3 linked regions of the Solanum lycopersicum genome follow. The protein of the gene in region 1 binds, or shares a complex with, the protein of each later gene. Links are inferred from orthologs where the notes say so. Each region holds a gene or a part of one and is shown on either strand. Other genes may lie near its edges.

The links.
Region 2: actin-related protein 2/3 complex subunit 2B (region 1) and actin-related protein 2/3 complex subunit 3 share a complex: the UniProt entries of both Arabidopsis thaliana proteins name them as parts of the arp2/3 complex. The link is inferred for Solanum lycopersicum from reciprocal best matches to the Arabidopsis thaliana genes arpc2b and ARPC3.
Region 3: actin-related protein 2/3 complex subunit 2B (region 1) and actin-related protein 2 share a complex: the UniProt entries of both Arabidopsis thaliana proteins name them as parts of the arp2/3 complex. The link is inferred for Solanum lycopersicum from reciprocal best matches to the Arabidopsis thaliana genes arpc2b and ARP2.

What each region holds. Positions count from the first base shown.
Region 1 is NC_090808.1:67,514,549-67,518,148, reverse strand, and holds the start of actin-related protein 2/3 complex subunit 2B, read right to left. Parts: upstream 2,369-3,600; 5' UTR 2,231-2,368; coding exon 2,172-2,230; exon of another isoform or gene 2,132-2,171; coding exon of another isoform or gene 2,109-2,131; intron 864-2,108; coding exon 797-863; intron 558-796; coding exon 350-557; intron 58-349; coding exon 1-57. UniProt on the Arabidopsis thaliana protein: Functions as actin-binding component of the Arp2/3 complex which is involved in regulation of actin polymerization and together with an activating nucleation-promoting factor (NPF) mediates the formation of branched actin networks.
Region 2 is NC_090806.1:3,894,272-3,898,111, reverse strand, and holds the start of actin-related protein 2/3 complex subunit 3, read right to left. Parts: upstream 2,224-3,840; 5' UTR 2,048-2,223; intron 1,212-2,047; 5' UTR 1,135-1,211; coding exon 1,132-1,134; intron 1-1,131. UniProt on the Arabidopsis thaliana protein: Functions as a component of the Arp2/3 complex which is involved in regulation of actin polymerization and together with an activating nucleation-promoting factor (NPF) mediates the formation of branched actin networks.
Region 3 is NC_090801.1:71,236,153-71,239,501, reverse strand, and holds the end of actin-related protein 2, read right to left. Parts: intron 3,253-3,349; coding exon 3,169-3,252; intron 3,083-3,168; coding exon 3,024-3,082; intron 2,152-3,023; coding exon 2,085-2,151; intron 1,726-2,084; coding exon 1,642-1,725; intron 944-1,641; coding exon 863-943; 3' UTR 588-862; downstream 1-587. UniProt on the Arabidopsis thaliana protein: Functions as ATP-binding component of the Arp2/3 complex which is involved in regulation of actin polymerization and together with an activating nucleation-promoting factor (NPF) mediates the formation of branched actin networks.

The sequences.
Region 1 (3,600 bases):
GAGAACTCAGAATTACACCTTGAACAGCAGCAATGTCTGTTATCATTTTTATAGCCTCTGAAATGAACAAAAGACAACACAAATTTTATGAGAACCGCCGCAGTGTGAAATGCTATCAAAGTAGTAATTGAAAGAAGTTCAATTTGGTTCGACTATTGATGGCTCAGTTTATATCTTAGCATCACCATAACAAAGTGGCAGTTGCTAACCACTTTAAATTCATTATTGTTTTCACTTGTGGTGCCACATTTTATTGTTTATTATTGCATGATCGATTATTCTGCTTCTGAGATGTTTCTAAAGCAGGATAAAGGGGTGGTAGGCAGCATTGATGAGAGGAGTTCCAAACCTTTACCATGCGGCATTCTACCAAAATTGAGTCGTATAGTCAGCTGATATCCTTCTTTTGGAGGCTCAACAATCTCCACAACTTCAGCACTGATAGCCTTTACCTTCTGTATAGTGTAACGTGAAAGACGAGTTGAGACCAGGAATGCTTGAGACAGAATCGGGGTTGCTATTGATAAGTAGGTATGATCGGGATCTGACACCAATGACTGACAAAATATTTCAAAAAAAAAGAAGTTATGGACACATATTTTGGATTGTTGAAAATCAGCAGACATTTTAGCAAAAAAATGCATTTCTCAACTTGGAGTTCGTTTTTTAAATATAAAACTAGTTGCTTGAATTGTTCTTCAGTTCGAAGGATCTTCCTTTAGACAAACCTTGTCTTTTGTGCCATGAACTTCAATCAGGTATGCAATGTATGCTTGTGGTTTTTAGTTGCTCTTACCTGAATGTAATATTCAATGGACCCAAATTCATGAAGGTGATGGTCGGCATCAATAGCCCTTTCATCTCTGTCTCAAGAAAAAACAAGCATGTTCATGGTAAGAGTTTTGGTTTTTACATATACGTTTATTCAAAAACTTAAGAAGAAACACGTCGGAGTACTGCTTATAATTCATCAGGTAAATTCTAAAGGTTAATTACTTACACTTGTTCCAGCTTAACAATTCTAAATGGACGTCTCTATTTTAATGTTTATTGATGTGTCTTTTCTTTGTCGGTTTCATATAAATCTGTTGTATATAGTAATGATGCGGATAGGATTCATATGCTGATCCCAAATTGTAGTCTAACTTGATATAAAATCGTGATTATTCAGTCCAATGAGTTTGTTTGTATGAGTATGCTCTCAATAACTGCATGTCGTTTATGCAGCAAGACCAACTTAGCAGGAACTTAGAGAATATGGTGCTTGGCTGATTGGCTCGTCTCTTTCAAGCACTTCGGTAAGTCCAATACCGACTTGTGATCACAAAAAGTGGCATGTTTTAAATTTTCTCGGTGTTGCTGTCACTAATTGACTGTTGAAAGCAACATTTGATAATAGATCAGAAGGCAAATGTAGCCCCAGCAATGGAATTCTACCTGTACAACGCCTTCTTTTATCTGGCCAAATAGAATCCGTTTTCTGAACACTCAATGTCTATCTGCTTCCACATCATAACTATAAACAAATTACTATTCATCGGCAATGTTAACTAATCATGTATTTCTCAAAACTTAATTCTACTTTATCTAATGATTCCTGCTTAATCTTTATAATTGCCTTATGTTCTGTACTTTCTCCTCTTTACCTTATGAGACGCTCTTCAACTTGATTCTTATTATGTTATCTTGAAAATCTTAGCGAGCTCACTGTATGTTTTTGATAGACTAGAATTACCTAGTATTGAATTTGGAACTGAACTCGAATACTAGACCGACCCTACACTATGATCAGCAATGCTCATCCAGATGAATACGTTTGTTGCACTCAACGGTTCCCCTAGTGGTTTGAGAACCATGAAATCTTAAACGCTAAGTGATCTCTTCTTATTTGTCTAAGCCTTGGTGGAAAGTGGATAGAGTTCGGAGATAGCATATACCTGTGGAATTAGTTAAGGTGCAAGCAAGCTAGCCAGGAGGACACCATGATAATATACAAAAACATGTTGCATCATTTGCTAGGTGTTGAGATTAGCAAAGTAATATATTATAACTAATAAAACGCTTTGTTGTGTTAGCCTCTACAGGAAAAGAATACTCGTGGACTTAACTGAGAAGTAAATCTTGAGTACATGACTTGAAGTACGAAGAACAACGAGTATAGTTCATTTTACCGGTATAATCTGAGCAGAATCTCCTTCAATGCTGGTGATGCACGTTCAAAACGCGCCATGCTTTGGATGTTGATCTTGAAAGTGGAATGAACTTCACATGAAGGTATGTAAAACAAGCTTTTTTACTGATGAGTTGTTGTGGTAGAAGTAGTTCAGTTTTTATATTGAGTAAAATGCAAGATTCTAATTTTGCAATCATTTTTAGTGTATTTTGAAGCAATTTATTCACCAAACAAGACAAATGGCACTACATTTTTTTTTTGTCTTCAGTTCATATGATCATTATCTGTCGATGCTTGTCTTCAAAGATCAGGTAACAGATGGAATAATTAATCATGTTATATATGATTCTATGCACTGGTTACTGAACTATTTATTTTTTTTCACTCGGTGTCCGGAGTTCACATTGGAGCCCAACTAAATTCAGATCGTGCACTGCAAGGCCCATCCGGGAATAACGCTCCTAACAAGATTTTCTCCATACTCAAAGCTCGGACTCGAGACTTCTGATTAAGAGTGAAACACTCTACTAGTGCACGGTTATTAAACCATTATTGATCATTATTATATGGTATCCACTTCACTTGGTTGTTGCATGTGTGCAAAATCAATCAAGAAGAGATCTTATTGTATAATTAAGTTAATGAATTTTTGGAACTACTTATATATTTTTTAAAAAAAAATATTGATTTGTTGGATCTTATTATGGTGTGGGGGCCAATCTTGAGATATTTTAATCGTCTTTCTTTAATGGTTGGTATATTTTTCTAATTCCAATTTACACTTGGATTTTAAAACAAAATCTACTAAATCGAAAAGGGTGTTTTCAGGTAAGGTGAATTTATGATTCGAACTCGAAGTTATTTGTTTTTCTACCACGGGAGGAGTTGATTTGGATTGTCTTAAGCAGTTTAGGTAATCGTTGACATCTTGTCAATTTATTCAAAGTAGCTTTATCAAGATCAGAAGCAAAATTGTGCAAAGATTTCTAATTTCACGAATTGTATCGTTTGATTGGAGGTACAAGAGATAATAATCTCGCGATTATATGTGAGATAAGTTTATCTTACATTTGGTTGAATTTTCGAAATTGAGATTAGTAATTTGGGGATAAAACACTACAAATGACAATGATGCCCTTTTCCAAGGCTCTTCCCTCCAAAGTCCTTCATAAAACTCAAGGTTAAAATTGGAAATATAAGTTTATCCCAACTTATCTAGTGTATATACACCAAGAACATGTTTTATTTTATATCCCACACATCTCATTTTTAGTCCAATGAACCAAATATCGCGCGTAATAAAGATACTTGATTCAGATGAATCGATGTCACAAGTTTGCATCCGTCTTTATAGAAGTGAATATAATCTATATTCAATGAATTCAACTAAATTCGATAATTACGACAAATATCTTTAAAATACGAAA
Region 2 (3,840 bases), on another chromosome or scaffold:
TCCTCAAACAACCCCGGATAGCAGATGCACATTAGGGAAGAGATCCTGAACGATCATAAGGACCATCAGGCGCTCCAAGACCAAGAGCATCCAAGGATTACACATCAAGAAGTTACAGATCTCTAAGAGATAATCAGAAGATGCTTGGAGAGCATGGCGAAGATTCGAGCAAAGCATATCATGTTTGAGAGTTCAAGGAGTGCTTGGAAGTGGCTGAAAAAAAAACTTGCTGGAAAGTAAAGTCCAGCACACGGCTAAGGCATTGGGTGTGGACAGAAGGAGCTAAGGCTGGACGCCTTGCACCGAAACACAAACACCAAAAGTTAAGCGGGCTGGAAATTACGACTCAGTGCAGCGGGCTGAACTTGAGGAATCGGTCATGTGTGACACACTGGTCTTACAAATTGGGAGGCTTTTCAGTTAGTGTAATTTATTCTTTTCTCAAACATAGGTAATATAATCTGCACATAAGGTTAAACTCGTTTTTAGAGAGGTTTTGATATAATTTTGAGATTGATATCTTTCTGAGGCTCAAACAGTCTTTGTCCGGACTGAATTTCAAAATTCTTTCAAGCTTGAACCTTGGTGGTAATTCTTTTTACTTCTAAATCTTTATATTTTTGGTTCTTTCTTTTCTGTTCTTCAGTTTTGGTTGGAATTTCTATCATGTTATTTCCATTAATCAGTGTGTAAGATACCGTACTGCATGCATGTATCCAAATCATATCTAAGTCCCCTACTCTAAATCAGTTACTGTCTTGTTTATCACCATTAGACTATATATAGACTTCTTGAAGTGAGTACAGATCAAAGAAAGACCACAATCCATCCCATATTGCCAATAACAGATCCTCATTGCCAAGATGTTTTAAAAACAGAATACAACATTTGTCATTTATTTATTCCTCTTTGAAGAAACCAAAGTGTAACTCAAAATAGTGGAATGAACACATGAAATGTAAGCCATGTAGCTCATTTAGTGCACCAAACCAGGAAAAGGGCCAAGTCGATCACCAAAGGAAAAGAAACAGCATGGTTTTCATCATGCGTGGAAGTTATCACACTATCAACTCAGAGAGATAATTGTCACCAAAGTAATGAAATATGTAAGCAAAAAAATGCTTTCTTTACCATTTTCCTTGCTGAAAATTTTGCTTCTTAGCACCAGAAGGCAATGTATAATTTCGAACCAAAGAGGCTATAACACCAATCTGCAGATGCACTCATCAAGTATCAGATAACTAAGATTAATTAGAACACAACTAACATGACTCCAATATAAGAGGACGTGCATCAAAATTTACGATTACTTCATCTACATCAGATAACTAGCTATGCATCTAAGTAATATTCAGGTAATCTTCCATATAGTCCAACATCTTCCGTCCTCTCTCCCCTTGTTCCTTTTTTATTTCCAGATCATCTATGCACTTTCATTCCCAACCATTCTATTCGTATCTTTTTAATTTGCGCTACTATAGAATTATCCATTAAACACAGGCAGAGCTACAGCTTCGACCAAAACCAGTAGGTTCGGCTCAAATCTTGTATTTGCGTTTAAGAATCCACCTAATATGCATAAATAAGTTATCAATAACTTAGTAAACACCGTTTTCTAGAATCCATACACTCAAATTCCTAGCTCACCCTTGATTAAACATGGTTTAGCAAATCATGTAAGTTATCTTACATTTCCCATAACATCAACTATAATGCCAGTTTTTCCCTCTTTAGTTACACATCAAAAAGTTCCCTATATCGCCATAAAAACACAAATATAGCATCTCATTTCCAATTTTAAGTTTTTTTTCAATCCGAATTCTATAAGCAAGATCTCCGACCTAGCTATTTCCCCTAATTCCCAAGCGAATTATATTAACTGAATTACGATATCAATTAAACAGTTTAAAGCATTTTGGAAAAAGCAATTATAATCACAGTAGTAACAATCACGGCAACAGTTTCAACAACAAAAACGCAATATGTTAAACATATGATAATAAGAGTAGATACGAAAAGATATGCAACAGATCGTAATTTTACGTACTGGATTTCCGAGAAGAGATAGTTAATTTCACCGGCGAGAGATGTTGAGATCGACAGGGATGGGTGATATTTTCCGGCGAAGATCAAAGAAGAAGTGAAGAGAGAATCGGGTATAAACGGTGATGGTAGTTGAAGATGGGCTTAACGATCAACTATTATTGGGCTCAATGTTTATGGGCCTCTTCTTAACCAATTTGAAGTTTAGTAAAATAGTACGATAATTGAGGTATAAGAAATAACGAGCGATAAAAGAAATTGAAGGACGAGAAACTATATGAGTAATGCTAGGACTACTAGTGTGGACGTATAGCAAGACGACACACACTACTGCCTACTAACTTCTTTAGCCTAATACGTGCCTTTCAAAACCTTATATCTAAAGTCGTATCCTTATTAAGTCGAAAATGTGTCATGTTCTATCTAATTACCTCTCTCCAAATACTTCTTCGACCTATCTCTACCTTTTCGAGGCCGCCCATTATCAACCTCTCACACCTTCATATTGGGACATTCGTGCAGCTCCTCTTTACATACATTAGCCTTGCTTTCTACATCTTGTCCTTCATCAAAATCACTCTCATGCACCTTGTCTCCGAATATCCTCGTTTCTAATCATGTCTTATTATTATTCCCACACATTCATCGCAAACATTTCATCTCCGTAGCTTTCATATTTTGAACATGAAAGTTCTTGACTAATCGACACTCTATCTCATACTATACGGTAGGTTTAACCATCACTTTTTGTCAAACTTGCCTAGCATTTTTTTCTTTCCTTATACTTTATGTCACGAATATACAGGTATCATATTGTTAAACAACGTAAATATATATGTATAATTTTTTTTTAATCAAGAAATATATCCATTTCAAATCACAAACTTAACGTTATATTTGCGCCTTTTCCATAAAGTATATATGATTTTTAAGGAGTCTAGATTTAATAATAGACTAATTGAAATACCCTACTTTATAATTCACCAATAATAATGATGACTACCTAATTTCTAAAAGGGGAATAATTCTAGGAATAATGCTATTCTATGAAAACTTTTGATAATGACATTGTTTTGAAAAAATTATTTCTCTACTTTTTCTTTTTTTTTAAAATTTGTGGTCTTCATTGTTCTAACTCTTAATCTTAAGAATAATCCATCACAAAATTCTCTAATTTCAATCAGTTCAACTTGCAATAATTTTGGGGCTTAGCTTTTTTCTAATTACTTTAGTTGATTTTGAATTGAAATATTGATATATTAACAAATTTAACATTCTTTTTTTTCTAGTAAAATTCAATATTTCAAAGGGAGAGTGTGGAAAGGGAATCTGTGCTAATGTTAACGTCAAAGTTATATAATTGAATTCAAATTAATAAGTTAAATATACCAGCTGTCTGGAATAAGTTTTTATGTATATTTAAATTAAAATTCTATTCGTAAATATAATGATATAAATCTATTTTGATTGTGACATTTATTGACTAAACATTGTAAATTTCACAAATTAATGTGAAGTAGTTGTGTATTAAAAAAAAACTTTAGGTCAAAATCAACATTATCTAAAAAATCTAATATAATTCTTTATTTATTGATAGTGAAATCCATTTTTTGAAAATATCTCATGTATAAAATTCAATCACTTGTGGTCCACAAAGCCAACATTTTCTCATCTTATTTATTGTCTTTATGATTTGTTAATCATCCAACAATAAAAATAACACTAATTTTAATTTATTTCTCGTTCAATATCAAATATCTGATTTTTAAATTTATATTAAATAAAATTTATTGAAGG
Region 3 (3,349 bases), on another chromosome or scaffold:
AAACAGGCACCAAGTCCTCATCCTTGCCAGAGGAACTGTTCTTAGATGCTTAATTGTTCTTGATGGAAAACAAAGAAAGAAGGTTCAAATTTGTGTCTTATAGCTCTTTGGAAATAAGAATCTCATTTTACCTTTTACTGATATGACAACTCTATATTCTCATCACTTGACTCCAACACTAGAGCTCAGATGCTAGCTGAGTTTTTACTGACATGCAAATAGTGAAAATAATACTATGCCTTGATCAACTGCAATAACACAAAAAAAAACTTACAAGCCTAAGCATGGCATAATGATTCCTTTGACTCATTGTTACAAGAGACTTTCCAATTTAACTCCATCTCATATCATGAATGATTTAAGCAGCAATTTCATCGCAAATCCAAACCTGTAAGCCATTTTCAACCATGGAGGTGGATAGACAAGGAATATAAAGTTAATATCTGGATAGAAAGTTAACAAACATCAAATGTAGCTCAAGCTTGTTATACATTTGTGAGAATTAGTTTACGATCTCTTTTGCCTGCACCAGATTACGGAATAAGCTGCTTATGTTTCAGCACACATTTTAATACTTCACAGAAGAGTAGGAACGGAAAGCAGTTCCAATTAGCAATGTTTTACTTCAATACGGACTGTACAAGTTCAAAATCAAGCCTTAAACAACTCATGGAAAGCAGATGCAGTAAAAACATTCAAGTATGACACGTCCTGTCTCTTTGAGAATTTTTTGGCAAAATACAGTACAAGAACTTCTATTTGAATGGTAAAGAGTCATTTCCAGCACGTCTTGATCTGTACATTTCCAAGCTTTTCTTTGAAAAGATAGCCAGAGCTTAAACAATTCATGGACATGTAGAAATCATGCCTGACCACACTTGCTTAGGCATGCAACTCCCTCTTCTAAATAATCTTGTCTATTGATCCAAAACTCAGGGGCATCCTGCAGAAATTATTCAATTATCTACTTATTTCTGTTAACATAATAATGTTGCTTTCAAATTGTATGCTCTTCAATTAGGGTGTGCATTGATTCATTGCAATCCTTTTCCTTTTTGGCATAATGAAAAGAAAAAACTTAAGAACGCTCAAGGAGAAGAATGACGAGAATTTATTTTTTTAGGTGAATGAGCTTCCTGACTGGAAGAATAGGACAGCAAGAATAATTTAAACATGGAAATATACCAGCCACTATGATTTCAGCATAATATTAAACATTTAAGTTACGGCATAAAATTCTTTTACTTGCTCTACTAAGTGGACTTTATTTAATTTAGTTGCATTCAGCCACAGGAACATCTCTCATACACAGATTATTTGATCAATTGCAGAGGAAGAACAAGAAAAAGAGAAGGATCGGAGGGATGTGAAACACAAATTTCCTTGTGCCTGAATCTGATGATTGCACGGGCCTAAATCATATCAAAATAGTATAATCCAACATGTGCCACAACCACTTCAATGGAGGACAGAAATAGAATATTCAAATCCAGAAAATTATGAAAAAGTGTACACAGATTAGAAAAGGATGTATCTTATTAGCTTTCTTTTTGTTTCTCCTGGGAATAAATTCTTTTTTATATGCATGAAAAAGCAAGGAGCAGAGATGGGGCTACAGAGAGGAAATCGATACCACCATACCTTCATAATTCCGGCCAGAACTGCACCACCGAGATACACCATATGCTTTCTTCTGGGTGGATCTTCTATTCGTAAGCGCAATTTCTATTGCAGAAAACATATAAAATAAAATTTTCAAAAATAGAGAAAATTTCAACAACTTAAAGAAAACCAAGAAATGCATCATAAAAGACAGCAATTGTAGGCAATGCAATCCAACTCCCTAGATATGTTAAACCCTACTCGTACTTTTCCAACTACTTTCTTATCTCCATCTCTTGATTGACTTGACCTCATATAGAGCCGAAATCACCATAAGCTGCAGCTACCAGTGAGATTGAGGTATTTTATTGTGGTTTGTGGGTAAGACTATTTGAATAAATGCAACTTAGTTGCATAAACCTTATTCATAAACCAAAAACCTCAAGAAATTGTGAAAAGAACAAATAAGAGTCACACAGTACCTTCAAACCATCTTTGTTCCCCTTCAGAACAACATCAAGATAGCGGTCCAAAATTTCTTTCTCAAGGCTGTCAATGTTTAAAAAGAAGGGAAAATAGCTGTTATTAAAGGAAACAAGAATATGATGAGTGTGGTCATGAGGTGGGTAAGAAAGAGTTTCGTTCCTTATATTCCCACAGTAAACCAAAAGAAATGTTAACTGCAAAAGTAAAGTTCAAAGGAATAAATCACAAAGAGATGAAAGTCCTTCTTGATGACAGCTCACGGATATTCTTAACAGAAATTCTTCATGCATTAAAGTGTATACCTAAATTTCCTAATATAGCACATTTCTAAACAATACTCATATCCTCTCGAATAGAATTTCATACTCTAATTTATGATACGTAACAAGATGAGAGTTAAAATAGTATGTAGTGAAAATGAATATATATTTCACGTTGATTTGCATTTTTAGATATGCCTTCATGCATTTCATGGTCGTTATGATACTAACAATTTCAGAAGGGTACTTATGAGCAGGAGAAAAATAGAACAACTATGAGGAATAAGTCATCAGTCAGATATACCAAAGCTGACTGCTACCAGGAGGAGGGAATCAGCAAAATTTTGATACCGTAAGAGGAGAATCATAAAATTCAAAATCCACAGGGAGGTGAATTAGAGTTCTTCGCACAATAAAAGAGTGTTATCAAAGTTATAGCATAACAGTTTTACAGTTCAAATTTCTCTGCCAGATTGATTAAACATTAGTCCTGAGGAAAAAATAATTCAAGGATATACTTTGGTTCATAAACTCAAAGCAAACTGTCACACCCGTTAAAACTTCCTAGTCTGTATGACAATAATGTAGCATTTAGAATCAACCACGCACAATTGCACTACTCAGCTCCAAGTTCTCAAAGCTTTATAATAAGGAAGAGTATTTTGAGTAAGTTACCGACTAGGTAAGCCAGGATACATGGTACTTCCACCACTCAAAACAATATGCTGGTAGAGCTGCAAGTGAAAATTTAAACATATGATGGATGGCAAATGACAACACTATGGCAAAGAATACAGAAGAAATTTCAAAGTTGAAGTACCATCATCCTGTTGTCAATATCCATCTCCTGAATGCAGCGAAATACCATGTCAGCCATGCCATCACCTTCAACATCAATAAGATCCTGAAATGGACAGAAAAAGTGACACTTAGCTTCCTTCCACATACAGCAACCCATCAATAAATATATTGCAGAAGCGTGAAATAATATTTAAAATTCC